Linked DNA regions of Drosophila melanogaster. The protein of the gene in region 1 purifies or fractionates together with the protein of each later gene. This does not show direct contact. Each region holds a gene or a part of one and is shown on either strand. Other genes may lie near its edges.

Evidence for each region. The genes of interacting proteins can lie anywhere in the genome.
Region 2: the proteins of Bx42 (region 1) and CG6015 purify together in Drosophila melanogaster (affinity purification with mass spectrometry, with the first as the bait; one large-scale study listed by BioGRID). This does not show direct contact.
Region 3: the proteins of Bx42 (region 1) and Prp8 purify together in Drosophila melanogaster (affinity purification with mass spectrometry, with the first as the bait; one large-scale study listed by BioGRID). This does not show direct contact.

What each region holds. Positions count from the first base shown.
Region 1 is NC_004354.4:9,103,360-9,108,498, reverse strand, and holds Bx42 (Bx42), read left to right. Parts: upstream 1-1,894; 5' UTR 1,895-2,051; coding exon 2,052-2,274; intron 2,275-2,541; coding exon 2,542-3,102; intron 3,103-3,167; coding exon 3,168-4,027; 3' UTR 4,028-4,629; downstream 4,630-5,139. Other genes in the region: Arfrp1 (ADP-ribosylation factor related protein 1), read right to left, coding at 567-823, 942-1,194, 1,262-1,354. UniProt on the Drosophila melanogaster protein: May play a role in chromatin structure and function.
Region 2 is NT_033777.3:22,031,639-22,036,161, forward strand, and holds CG6015 (uncharacterized protein), read right to left. Parts: upstream 2,649-4,523; 5' UTR 2,549-2,648; coding exon of another isoform or gene 2,444-2,548; coding exon 1,726-2,443; intron 1,661-1,725; coding exon 1,182-1,660; intron 1,122-1,181; coding exon 588-1,121; 3' UTR 512-587; downstream 1-511. Other genes in the region: CG13409 (uncharacterized protein), read right to left, coding at 1-85; CG45099 (uncharacterized protein), read right to left, coding at 2,444-2,548; Fadd (Fas-associated death domain), read left to right, coding at 2,925-3,644; pit (pitchoune), read left to right, coding at 4,197-4,377, 4,438-4,523.
Region 3 is NT_033778.4:12,159,988-12,164,919, reverse strand, and holds the start of Prp8 (pre-mRNA processing factor 8), read left to right. Parts: upstream 1-1,921; 5' UTR 1,922-2,035; intron 2,036-2,208; 5' UTR 2,209-2,226; coding exon 2,227-2,840; intron 2,841-2,896; coding exon 2,897-3,112; intron 3,113-3,172; coding exon 3,173-3,385; intron 3,386-3,447; coding exon 3,448-3,573; intron 3,574-3,616; exon of another isoform or gene 3,617-3,794; intron 3,795-3,853; coding exon 3,854-4,273; intron 4,274-4,331; coding exon 4,332-4,549; intron 4,550-4,606; coding exon 4,607-4,932. Other genes in the region: CG13177 (uncharacterized protein), read right to left, coding at 733-936, 999-1,058, 1,120-1,128.

The sequences.
Region 1 (5,139 bases):
TCGGATAAGCGGAGCCCCATTGACAACCGCCATATCGAGGTGTACTACGAGTGCAGTGCTGTTAGATAAAGAAGCGACTCTCCCGATTTTGGTGGACCTCGAATCGCCCACACACTTTGTGGCTAACGATTAACCATAACAGCTGCGAATGGATTCAGTTTTATTACATTTTTGGCATCCAAATACCCATGTATCTGGGTTATTAACAGAACAAAGTACTTCTTCAAATACATCTTCAAGTACTTCTGAATTTATAGTTCTTGCACTTAATTGGCTAATAAGCATTGCGTTCTTTGTTATTCTAACAATAGTATTTGTAATTCGTTGTCCTATGCAGAAGTCTCACAGCTTTCTAACATTGTTTTCCTCATTTTCTCAGCAGTAGTTAACCGAAAAGAAAGGTCTTTGCAAATAATGACAACGCATCTTTACAATTGGTATCTCGCAATCTCGTCTGGCTAATTACAAATAAGCGTTATCCTAAGCCCCTAACTTACAAAAGTACATGTCTAATTAAAGCCAGTGGAGGGCCGACTACCAGGCCCAGATGTCTTCTGCTTGATCTTCTAATCGTTTTCCCGCGGCGGCCGCACCACCGCATGTCGTTTGATGGCCTCCACCAGCCACTTAATGCCCTCGTCCACGCCCTCGCCGTGCAGCGCGGATACGGGAATGGTGAGGCAATCTCGCCGCCCGATTAAAGCACCCGCCTGCTGGAAAACTGGCTTGATCTCCCGCACGCCCATCACATCCGGCAGATCCTGTTTGTTGGCCAGGATTAGCAAAGGCACTCCGGACAGCAGTTCGTTCTTGATCATCTTGTCTGTGGGGAAAGAGAATAACACATTTTAGGTGAACCTTTTTCCTTTTACCAGAGATCATCAGAATAGATCAAAACGAGTTTTGTTCAAGGGATTAGTTCGAAGACTGTTTTCGCTTACCAAATATCGCTTTGGACTCTTCCATGCGCTCCCTGTCGTTGGAATCAATCACGTAGATGACGCCATGCGACTCCTGGTAGTACTTATCCCAGAGAGATTGCAGCTCCTGCTGGCCACCAAGATCCCAGAAGTTGAGGCGTACGCCCTGCACGTCGATGGTGCCGATGTTGAGGCCCACCGTCGTCGTGATCTTGCTCGGATTGAGGCCCTTATAGTTACGCGTAAACGTGGTCTTGGCGGCCTCCAGGTAAGTCTACGTGGGCACAGGTGTTAGTTTCCGATTGGACATGAGGCTTTCATTGGATGATTCAGCTGCCTACCGTTTTGCCAGCATTGTCCAGGCCCAGGATTACCACGCAGTAGTCGTCCTTCTGAGTCATGTATTTGTAGAAGCCGTGCATCAATGTGTACATTGTATTGTGTTTTTGGCCAACAAAAACAAAAACTTAAATTGTTGACTGAACTGCTAGCGATGGCACTGCCAGCGGCTAGGGCGATGCGATAGTATCGATCGGGCAAGTGTCACTTATATCTATCTAATTATTAGGGGGATGTCTATAAATTATATTTTTAAGTATTGCACAGTTCTGTTAAGGTAATAAAAATAAATTATTCAAATTTTCTCTGATTGCCCCTGATTTTTATAAACCATATTGTAGTATTTTGATAAGAACATTCGAAATAATGGTCCAAATATGGAATGTCATACCTCGTTAAGCTCGTAATAAAATTTCAAATCAAACTGTGTTCAAAAATGCAAATTCAATTTTTTGACCATTTTTTGCAAATTTTGATGATGTTTGATGACCATTACCAATCCACTACCGATTCGCGTTCAAATTTGGAAAAAGCTATCGCTTTGTTATTTCTACCAATTTGGTTTTCTTACGTCTTAAGAAAAACGCAATATATGCAATCCATCCCTAAAAGGGACCATACTCTATAGCATTTTCTTATTAGCAGTCTGGCAACCCTACACACCCGTACGCTTGTGTGTGTCCGTGTGCGTGCGTGTTTTTTTTTTCGACTTTTCCATTATAGTTTTTGTGGCTTGCATATTGAAAAGTGATTTCACATAAGAATTGATTCGCCACAAATAACAGATAAGCTATGTCGCTATCAAGCCTGCTGCCCACGCCGACGAACGCGATCTGGGATCGGGAGGACGAGCGTCGCCTGGTCGCCCGCGGAGCACCAAAGATCGGAGCCCTGGTCTCCGCCAAAATCGCTGCTCCGCCGTACGGACAGCGTAAGGATTGGGTACCACATACGGATGCGGACTTTGGCGATGGCGGCGCCTTCCCGGAGATCCATGTGGCGCAATATCCACTAGGTGGGTTCCCGTTCGTGCTAATCCCACTTTCTCTGTGCTTGCAAACAATGTTGTCGCGGTTTTTCGTTGGTAATGGTGTCCTCGTAAGGGAAATAACCATTAGCTTCTTATATGTGGGTGATTGTACAGCGAGAAGGCTTCAATTTCCACCACATTAAGTTAAACGTTTGCTGTAGAATGTTGTATTTTTGTATTTTATGATCAGCATTTTGAAGCGTGGCTTATTCAATTGAAACAATTTCTGCGTCTTCTTCATCTTCTCGACAGGTCTGGGAGCACCAGGAAATGTTGGCAAGAAGTCGGATGCTCTGGCCGTTCGCCTGGACGACAAGGGAAAGGTTAAATACGATGCCATAGCACGCCAAGGACATGGCAAGGACAAGATTGTGTACTCGTCCATTTCGCAACTGCTGCCGGCGGAGGTGTTGGCCGAAGATGCGGATGAACTACAGCGCCCGGACGAGGAAACGGTGATGGAGACGACGGAGGAGACGCGCCTGGCGCTGGAGAAGCTGACCAACCAGAAGATCACCTCAGCGCTGCCCGTGCGCCATGCCCAGAAGGCGGGTCCCGCCCAGTACATTCGGTACACGCCCTCGCAGCAGGGCGATACCTTCAATTCGGGCGCCAAGCAGCGTGTCATCCGGATGGTGGAGGCGCAGCTCGATCCGATGGAGCCGCCCAAGTTCCGCATTAACAAAAAGATTCCACGAGGTCCACCATCGCCGCCGGCACCTGTCCTCCACTCACCATCGCGCAAGGTGACGGTCAAGGAGCAAAAGGAGTGGAAGATCCCGCCCTGCATATCGAACTGGAAGAACGCCAAAGGTGCGAGCTAATGTAAAACTAGAATCCTCTTCATTATCCTAATTAAATCTTTGCCTCGATATCAGGTTACACCATTCCACTGGACAAGCGTCTGGCAGCCGATGGACGCGGTCTGCAGCAGGTGCACATCAACGAGAAGTTCGCCAAGATGGCCGAGGCGCTGTACATAGCCGATCGCAAGGCGCGCGAGGCGGTGGAGGCACGCTCCCAGCTGGAAAAGAAGCTGGCCCAAAAGGAGAAGGAGAAGAAGGAGGATATGCTGCGTATGATGGCGCAGCGGGCTCGCGAAGAGCGAGCGGGACTACGCAATCCGGAGGCAGCCGAGCCATCTGGTTCCGGAGCTACAGGATCCGAGGTGCGTGAACGCAACGACTTGCGGGCAGAGCGGCAAAGGGAGCGCCAGCGGGATAGAAACCTGCAGCGGGCGGCTCCCGAAAAGCGATCGAAACTGCAGAAGGAGAGGGAGCGTGACATTTCTGAGCAAATCGCTTTGGGTCTGCCCGCCAAGAGTGCCGGCAACGGTGAAACGCTCTTCGATCAGCGTCTATTCAACACCACCAAGGGCATGGACTCCGGTTACGGTGATGACGAAGCGTACAATGTGTACGACAAGCCGTGGCGCGATTCCAATACACTGGGCGCTCACATCTACCGACCCAGCAAGCAGGCGGATAGCGATAACTACGGCGGTGATCTGGATGCCATTGTAAATACCAAGCGTTTCGTGCCAGACAAGCAGTTCTCCGGTGCCTCCAAGGAGGCGGCCGCTGGCCAGAGGAGTGGACCCGTTGAGTTCGAGAAGGAGGAGGATCCCTTCGGTCTCGATCAGTTCTTGAACATGGCCAAAAAGGCGCCCAAGCGTGCCGAGGAGAAGAACAACGAGCGCAGCAGCCATTCGGATCGCAAGCGCAGCAAGCGCGATTAGACAAAAGCTTTAGCGTGAGGATTACCAATCATCGTTGTATCGTCATCATCATCATTGCAAACACTATTCACCATTCACCAACCAAACAAACGTTTTTTTTAACTACTCCAACAACTTGGCGAGAATTTCAATAATAATCACAGGATCTTGACATAAACATGAATGTGTAATTACGGGTTATTTGGCATAAGTGCGCTTGGAGGAACCTCAATCAGCACACATCCGATCCAGAATCACAGATTGGTCAGTGAAAGATCAGTGGTGTGACCACATACGGCGATGGTTTGATTGCTCTTCACGTGCGCATCCATGCGGGAGAAGGTATAAGCCGAGGGAGCAAGGATACTGGCTTCCGGATCTAGAATATAATACAAAATAAGCAATAGTATGATAGAAACTTTTAAAATATGATGACCATCTTTTTGGCGCCTATAATCAAAGAATAAAGTGACCCTCTTTTGCCAATAAGCTTTCTAGCGGACCTTTTTTGTAGTGTTATACCACTCCGTTGAATTCCGTTAAATTAATAGGAATGCAAATAATGTATTTAAGAAATAACCAATCCTAAGGTACTTGATTAAATGTAACAGTAATTGACTGTCACCCTGCCTACATATATTATTCCAAATTATGTTTTCTTAAACTTGCAAATTTGTTCACTACGCAAAATATAAATGAAAAACAGTATTTCGCCGGTATTTTTAGAGCAGCTTTATCGTCCGCACGCACGCTGGTCACACTGTGTGACATTGAGTTGACTTTAGTTGCATTAGTTTAATTGCAATTTTATTCGATTTATTCGCAAATAAGTGAGCAGCCCAACGTCGAAACTCGAACGGCAACGGTCCACACCGCCATCCGCCGCATCCCGGAGAGAATGCGCTGTCCTCGCGGCGAATTCCACGGATTCAACGGCTTCTAGCGGCCGCGAGGTGTTCCGAGGAGCTCTGGGATTCTAGCACCACCTCCTCCACTCCGCCGAACCACAACAAACGATCCACAGCGATCCCAACCGATCTGATATTATGTAAGTTGAGCGTGCCCGCGTCGTGGATGGTAAACAACAATCATATCATCGAAGGCACCCTATTCCATACGCCCAAGCAGCAGTA
Region 2 (4,523 bases), on another chromosome or scaffold:
TGAGGCGCAGCAGGAGGCCGCCGGACGGCAGCTGGTAGGCGTAGCCCAGGCCAGAGGCATCCGCATCCGAGTGGGGCTTGGCCATGGCCGCTGGCAGGAATTACGGGTGTCTAGCTGATGCTCGGTGTCCACCTAGCCGTCGCCTTTTACTGCATCTCCTCTACGCCGTAGAACTCTTTTTTTTTCGCGTTTTTTTTACAGATTATTGACAAGTCTTCCACAATCCGTCCGACGTTTGTGCGACTTTCGTGGAAAATATCGATTTTGGCCAGCACTACTCGCATATGTTTTGACTTGCCAGTGGGGGTGGCTGGGCCATTGGGTGGTGGGCCGACCATCCGTCGAGTTGTTTGCCATTTCACATGCACTGCGCATGCGTACTCTTATCACAACTGAAGGTAAATAAAAGCCAATCTCGCAAAGGGGGGAGGGAATATCAAGCAACCGGATGGATAAATAACTTAGGAATTGGGCTTGATACACATGAATTAAATGAGCTCAATTGGAACATAATGGGTAAGCAATATAATCAATCAATTTACACATCAGTTTGGCTTACATCTATCTATGTTATTTTGTGCGGACCATTAGTCCCAGTATTTTATCTGGCCATCCCAGCCAGCGGTGACCACTTTGCTGGCCTCATGCGGATGCCAGAGGGCACTGATGCAGACGCCGTCGTGCGCCTGCCACTTCTTGTACATCTTCGTCGTCTTCCAGTCCCAAATATAACATTTGCCATCGCCATCGCCCGACACCAGATAGCTCATGTCCGGCGAAAAGTCCAGCTGGCAGGCGTAGCCAGAGACCATGTGACCGGTGAAGGTCTTTTTGCGGTTCATCTTGAAGCGATTGAGGGCGGAGAAGATGACGATCTTGTTGTCTAACGACTGGCAGGCCATCCATTTGCCATTGGGCGCCAATGTGACCGCCGGCATGGAATGCATAGTGGGGTCGGCAATGTACTTCATGTCCACAGGAATGTCCCACTCCCATATGCGCATCGATTTGTCGTCCGAGGTGGTCACAAACCGTCGGTTGTCGTCCACAAAGGTGATGGTGCTCACAGATCCCAAGTGCCGGTCGTATTCCTGTACAATATCACCGCTGCGAGTGTCCCACTGCGAATTGATAGGAAAACAATTGTAACATGAGCATCTACTTTTGTAAATTTTACTTACACAAATGATCTTCTTGTCGGAGGTGCCGGCAACGAACAAATGTTGCTTGCTATTATCCGGATGGAATTTCACACAGAAAGGCATTTTACGCGTTGTGAATCGGGACACTACATCGCCCGTTTCGGCATCCCACAACTTTATGTAGCGATCATACGAGGCAGACAGGAAGTTGGTACCCCTGTTGTTCCACGCAATATCCTTGATGGCCTGCCGGTGACCGGAGAAGGTGCGTATGCAGCGTCGCTCGCCGTAAACCTCCCACAGTTTGACGCGACAGTCCATCGATCCGGAGAGCAGAAGATGAGCGGTCTTGGGGAACCAGCGGATGGAGGAGATGCCCTTGTTGTGGCCCGACCAGGTGTGTATGTGCGCCTTGGGCAGAAAGCATTTGGTCGGTGGTGCATTCGATCGTAGATTCACGCCCAGATCATGAGGAGCATGCAAATAAGAGCGGCCCTGATAGTCGTACGCATCCTTGACTGTGGAGCAAAAAAGGAAAAGATTATTAACGATATATATTCGGTGGCTATTGGATTAAACTCACTGTGCAGCGTCGACTTCTCCTCGAGCGGCTTATCCTCGGGAATGCGTCCGCGCTTATGTCGCTTAGACAGCAGCTCGTCCAGTTCGGCGCGCTCCTGTTCATTTGGCTTTGCCACCGACACCTCGTTTTCGAACTTGCCCCAGGGACCCAGAAAGCCCTCAATGTCCTCGGGATTATCATTTTTCTCCTGCTTGCGCAGTTTCTTTGCCTTGGGCGGCTCAAATACCGTCTTGCCATTGTCATCGTACGCAGACTGCAGGTCACCCACAAAAGACTGGCCGTCCGCCTGATCGTCTACGCTGGGGTCCAATGCGTAGCCGTAGGTGTGAAAGGTGCGTCGCTGGTTCTCAAATTCGAAGGCATTGATGTGGGCCTTCTCTACGTAGCCGGCTAGGGTGTTCCGCGGAGCGCGCTGCTGCATGGTGAGGTCCGGATGCTCCGGACCTTTTACCGGAGCATACATCTCCTCATAGCGCGGATTGTAGGTTACCTCCTTGAGCGTGGGATCCAGAGTTCGGGGCACGGCCGATGCTCCAAGGGGAACCACCGTTGGCGCCGCACAAACAGCAATGGACTTGGATAGCGAGTGTGTCTTGTCCACGGGCAGCAGGTGATCCGGAATGGGAGCGGAGGGCTCTGAATTCGTGGTGGCTGTGGCGGCGTCCGCATGGTCCGATTCTTCATCCGAGGAACTGGCGTATGACTGAAGGCCCAACATTTAGAGGCTGCGGACGAACTCTGTGTACTTGTTAACGAAATGCTGAAGGTAAATCAAGACCAGAGTGTAGAGGAGGAATACGAAAACGTTAATGGATATTTCCATTCGTCTACACGTTTGCGTTTATCATTAGTTGCTTCAGTAAAAGTAACAAAAACATAAATATATATCTATCAAAACTAGGGATGGTGCGTGCCATCTGTTATCGATGTTATCGAATGGCTATGTAACGGTCTCACTAATAGATCCCAAACATGCAAGGTGGTGCAAGTTTAAAGCTTATTTTAAATTTTTTAAGTTGTATGGAAATAGTATTTGATATTTTTTTGCTCATTTTGCTCAAACACCTATTCAGTGCTGATCGATAACAGGTAAGGAAATGTTTGGCCATACGGTCATACTACATCAGGGAGTGAAGTTGCGTTGATACATTTTGGGAACTTAAGACCGCTGAAAATACCGTCTCTGTAAATTAGTCACAATGACTGCAGGCAGGCACTGGAGCTACGACAGCCTCAAACAAATCGCCATTGATGGATGCACCGAGAACGTGGAGCAGTTGAAACTAATTTTTGTCGAAGAGATTGGTTCGCGACGCAGATCGGATTGCATACGAACCATCGAGGATTTAATTGACTGCCTGGAACGAGCGGACGAACTATCGGAGTACAATGTGGAGCCACTGCGCCGGATATCAGGCAATATGCCACAGCTCATCGAGGCTCTGAGCGCCTACACAAAGCCGGAAAACATTCTTGGACATCCGGTTAATCTGTACCAGGAACTCCGATTGGCCGAGGAACTTCGTCAGCAGCTCCGTATTGCTCCAGCTTCCCAGAATGCTCAGCCATCAGTTTCGGAATTAGCTGCCGCTGTGCCTCCAACAGCAATCCAAAACTATGCCACCCCAGCTGCTTTTACGGATCACAAACGAACGATGGTCTTTAAGAAAATATCCGAGGAACTGGGTCGCTATTGGCGACGACTGGGCCGATCGGCGGGCATTGGCGAGGGCCAAATGGACACAATCGAGGAGCGCTACCCGCACGACTTGAAGTCCCAGATTCTGCGACTGCTGCAGCTCATCGAAGAGGATGATTGCCACGATCCCAAGCACTTTCTGCTTCGTCTGTGTCGCGCCCTGGGCGATTGTGGTCGCAATGATCTGCGCAAGAGGGTGGAGCAGATAATGTCGCACTAGAACGCATTCACTTATATGCACTTTATATGCATTTTGTTACGATACTAGTAATTAATGTGCTGGAGAGCGACAAAGATGTGCCTTTATTGTAATTATTCACATGTTATTCCAAGGTTGGACAGAGCATAAAAATCGCACACTAAATTAATATGTGTCAACGCGGAATTGTACGATCTTATAAGAAAATGTGATTGACGTATTCCATTCAAAATGGGAATTCACATTTCCTTATCATAAGATAGTCTACAAAAAATATTGTTAACTCGTAATACACAAGTCACATAGTTGAAGATAGCAATGTACAATGGATATAAAATACGTTTTGCAAACGCTTTTGCTTCTCTTATCCTCAAAAGACGGTTGAAAATTTGTTTACAAATAGGGTCACACCTTTTGCATTGAACTATCGAATTGGCAATTATCGATAGGCACAGCTGGCTGAATATCGTTTGCTTCGGGGTGAATGGTTAGCAACACGTGCGCGCAATATTTTATTTGAGAATTCTGTTTTTAACCATTAAACTCTATTAAAAAGCATACATAGTTAGCAATATGTCTATTCGGGAGAAGCTGCTGATGAAGAAGATCGTTAAGCGGGAGAAGATGAAGAAGGAGCTCTCGCAGAAGAAGGGAAACAAGAACGCCCAAAAGCAGGAGCCACCCAAACAAAATGGCAATAAACCCAGTAAAAAACCGGAGAAACTCAGTAAAAAGCATGTGGCCAAGGATGAGGGTACGATTAAAAACGTGTGTGCCTAATAAATATATGTAAGATTCACTTTTCGACCCGCAGATGACGACTTAGAGGAGGATTTCCAGGAGGCGCCGCTGCCCAAGAAGAAGCAACAAAAACAGCCTCCAAAAAAGCAACAAATTCAG
Region 3 (4,932 bases), on another chromosome or scaffold:
TTAATATCCACAAGCAGCTTCAACTTTTAATAATTTGGAACACTTGATGTAGGAAATGCATTTAACTTGGATTTTAAGTTGAAAAACAGGTAGTATTTCAGAGAATTATGAGTTTTAAATAGTTTATGGCCGCAATAACTAACTTCTATAGTATGGTTTTCTTTTGAAATTTTACAAAGAGTTATATACTATATAAACTTCTGGCTGATATCCATTGTATAGACCAGCTTTCTTGTGACCCCGTTTATGGCCTGAAATTTGGCCATGTGGATCGTTAAAGATAGGTCCAACTAAAGGTTCAGATGTGTGTAATTACTCGACTTGGCCAACTCGGAATTTTGCTGGCCGGCTTATGTATGTTACGTTAGCCGCCTCAATTTCTTTGGAAGTTCAAAAAACAAAAAAGAAATCCGGTTTTGGACAATTGAAATTTGAAAATAATAAACCACACATGCGAGCGTAGTCGTACGTAAAGTGTTTTTTGTTTTTGTTTTGTTTTTATTGCAATAAAGCCGGTGTTAATTGTGCTCTGGGGTCAAAAACTGCCGCTGACGTCATCAACTCGTCGTTGCAAGACAGTGAAAGGGTTAAAATTTCAAAACTGGGGGGCTTGCTTGTATAACTTCTTTGGTCACTAGTGCGATTACATAGGATTTTGTGGATTAAGGAACGTATGTCCATATGTCTGAAACTTCTTGCTTAAGGAACGTTTTTCGGTCTGGCATCATAGTATTATCCCCAAACTGGGTAAATTCGGGGACGATAGAATCCGCCTCCGTAGGAGCGATATCCGCCGTAGCCGCCGTAACCGGAATATCCGCCGTACTTGTAGCCACCTCCATAGCCGCCGTAGTAAATTGGCGATGGAGCTGCATAGTAGCCGTAGCCAATGGAGTCCGCGGTGGAGAGATCAGCCTCCTCAGCGGGTTTCTTGTCCTGCCAAGCGAATGGATTTTGTTGGTTGGTTTTGAAATGGAAAAACTAAAGATATGACCTACCTCTATAGGAGCTGCGCTGATGAATCCGATAATAGCCAGGCACAAAAGGATGGAAAATAACTGAAAATGTTCACAACATTTACTCATTATGATAGAAACACTTTTTGTTTGTGTGTAATACCTTTGCCATTGTTGCTTTTATTTGCGAAATTTAACGGGGATGCACTCTAGATTTTATGTTTTTCTCTCAAATTAGCAACTTTTCCCGATCGTGTTCTGGCCAGAAGCGTTGTTGTCCGTAAACTGTGATCCCCAGCGACCTGCCGACAATATTTATAGTGGCCCAAAACGTCCCGGGGATCGATTTTGCACATGATCATTGATTGGACAAACATTCGGGAGTCTGGGGATGTCGTTACCCGATGCGAAATGAGGTGTTTCATTATCACAGATGACTCGATGGGATCTTCCAATTCGGTTATTTGAATTTCTAAGCTACAGTGAGCATTAGTTAATGGCCAAAGAAAAAGTTATTTAGTGTTTTATTTATTCGGTTTGTTGTTAGCTAAAGTCGACTGTGTGTTCTTATTTTTACCAGTCATCAACAATAATATTGACGCACTACACTAATTAAGTTCCTAATTATTAATATTAACACATTTGTTGACGAGCTGATTCATTGATTTAATTACAAGGATTTAGCCTTAATTAAAAATGCTAATGTCTCGATATTTTTTACTACTACAATACAAAGTAATTTAAGTGAATAAGGCTAATTAGTTTTAGTCGTCGCAGTTTTGGTGAATTTGTAATATATTCCCCAATAACACCGTTATTTAAATTTTCAAATTTGCTCGCACTTTGTGTGGTTATCTTGACTGCTTTTTACCACTAGACTGTTTAGCAATTCACCTAATCTCTCGATAGACGATAGATGTCTTATCGATTGAGTGATGTGACCGTTCTACTATTCTATAAATGGCTGCCGCATGAAAAAGTAAACCTCTCGTTTTGCGAACCGGAAAAATTGTGAATTGCGGCCAAAGAAAGGCAGAAAAAGTGCCAAATAGGCAGTACAGTTGCAAATTAACTGCCAGGTAAGATATTCAAACCAAGATTAGCTGGGGGAAAAGCGAAATTTACGCTTTTTCACAGCGTGGTGAAAATTGCAAAAGACCGCGACGTCGGCGGCGGCATTTCGATTTCTCCCCCTGAAACAAAACGTGTCTGTGTGTCGTAAAGTGTATGTTTTTCGTCGTTTATTGATTAGGATAAGTGCCGCGGAACGATGTCCATTCCGCCGTACATGATACCACAAAATGCGTGGGCAGCCCAGCTGATGGCCCAGCAGGCCTACGCGGCTGCCCATGCTCAGCAGGCTCAACTGCACGCCCAGCAGCAGATGGCCAACCAAATTCAGCAGATTCCGCCACCGGGGGCTCCGCTGCCGCCGGCCGGTGGCCATACCAACGGTATACCCATCCCGGTGGGAGGTCAGGGACCCGGATTGGGCCAGATTCCCACGCCCAAGCCGGACATACTCACCGAGGAGAAGCTGCAGGAGAAGGCGCTTAAATGGCAGCATCTGCAGTCCAAGCGATTCGCTGAGAAGCGCAAGTTTGGCTTCGTGGATACCCAGAAGGAGGATATGCCGCCGGAGCACATCAGGAAGATCATTCGCGATCACGGAGATATGACGTCGCGCAAGTATCGTCATGACAAGCGAGTATATCTCGGCGCCCTGAAGTACATGCCACATGCTGTGCTCAAGCTGCTAGAGAACATGCCAATGCCATGGGAGCAGATCCGGGATGTCCAGGTGCTGTACCACATCACTGGAGCCATTACCTTTGTCAATGAGATTCCCTGGGTTATTGAGCCCGTCTACATAGCACAATGGGGGTAAGTTGACTTTAACTTGTCCTCGTGGACACAACTGACGTTAAACACTTCCGCAGTACAATGTGGATCATGATGCGGCGTGAGAAACGCGATCGTCGCCACTTTAAGCGCATGAGATTCCCGCCATTTGACGATGAAGAGCCGCCTCTAGACTATGCCGACAACGTGCTGGACGTGGAGCCCTTGGAGGCCATTCAAATTGAGCTGGACAATGACGAAGACAATGCTGTATACAAATGGTTTTATGACCATCGTCCTCTAGTGGATACACAGTGAGTTTTGATTTGTCATTTATATCTGATCTTGTTTTGATTCATTTATTACCATCTAAGGTTTGTGAACGGCACTACCTACCGAAAGTGGAATCTTTCCCTGCCTCAGCTAGCCACGCTGTATCGATTGGCCAATCAATTGCTCACCGATCTAGTCGACAATAACTTCTTTTATTTGTTTGACCCAAAAAGTTTCTTCACCGCCAAGGCTCTTAATATGGCCATTCCAGGAGGACCTAAGTTTGAACCCCTCATTAAGGACCACAATGTTGGGTAAGACAATGCATACCCTAAATACTTGTTAAAATGTAATTCCTGCTTTTATTTAATTTTAGGGACGAGGATTGGAACGAGTTCAATGACATTAACAAAGTCATTATCCGGCAGCCAATTCGCACGGAATACCGCATTGCCTTTCCTTACTTGTACAACAATATGCCACACTTTGTGCATTTGAGCTGGTAAGAGTCCACATTCTTCAAAAATTACCATTCTAAAATCTTATTTACGTGGTTAGAAACGTTTCCAAGTGATCAGCCTCTCTGGAAATGCTTCATGCCGCGTTAGAAAAACGACGAGCTCCCAGGTTACTGCCAAATTTGCGATAAAACGGGAGCTGCAATGAATATGTTCGTGGCGATTGTTAAGAATTAATCGTGACTGCTGATAGTTGCATACATATAAACTCATTTGTAGCTTAGAGGATCCACATGACCACATGATGTACTTTGTCTATTTCAGGTATCACACTCCCAACGTGGTCTACATCAAGACCGAAGATCCCGATCTGCCTGCATTTTACTTTGATCCGCTCATCAATCCCATATCCCATCGCAATGCAAACTCGAAGATTCAGGAGCCCCTACCTGATGACGACGAGGACTTTACTCTTCCGGACGACGTGCAGCCGTTCCTGCAGGACACTCCCCTGTACACTGACAACACTGCAAACGGAATCGCCTTGCTGTGGGCACCCCGCCCCTTTAACATGCGCTCTGGTCGCTCCCGTCGTGCCATCGATGTGCCGCTGGTCAAGTGCTGGTACAAGGAGCATTGTCCACCTGGCCATCCGGTTAAGGTGCGCGTTAGCTACCAGAAACTGCTCAAATACTATGTGCTCAATGCCCTAAAACACCGCAAACCAAAGCCACAAAAGAAACGGTGAGTTTTATTTAAATCAAACTATAGAAACGTTTTGAATTGTATCCTTACTTTGCAGCTACCTCTTCCGTTCGTTTAAGGCCACAAAATTCTTCCAGACCACAACTCTGGATTGGGTTGAGGCTGGACTGCAAGTTTGTCGTCAGGGATATAACATGTTGAATCTATTGATTCACCGAAAAAATCTTAACTACTTGCATTTAGATTACAATTTCAACTTGAAGCCCGTTAAAACTCTGACCACCAAGGAGCGTAAGAAGTCGCGATTCGGAAATGGTAAGCAGTTAAATTTCTAAAAATTTCCCTTTTATCAATTCCTTTCATTCCTATTAGCTTTCCATTTGTGCCGTGAGATCCTGCGTCTGACCAAGCTAATCATTGACTCTCATGTTCAGTATCGGCTAAACAATGTGGACGCCTTTCAGTTGGCTGACGGACTGCAGTACATATTCGCCCATGTTGGCCAGCTGACTGGCATGTATCGCTATAAATACAAGCTGATGAGGCAGATTCGAATGTGTAAGGATCTGAAACATTTGATATACTATCGCTTCAACACGGGGCCCGTGGGCAAGGGACCCGGATGTGGCTTTTGGGCACCTGGATGGCGAGTCTGGCTGTTCTTTATGCGCGGCATCACTCCGCTACTGGAACGCTGG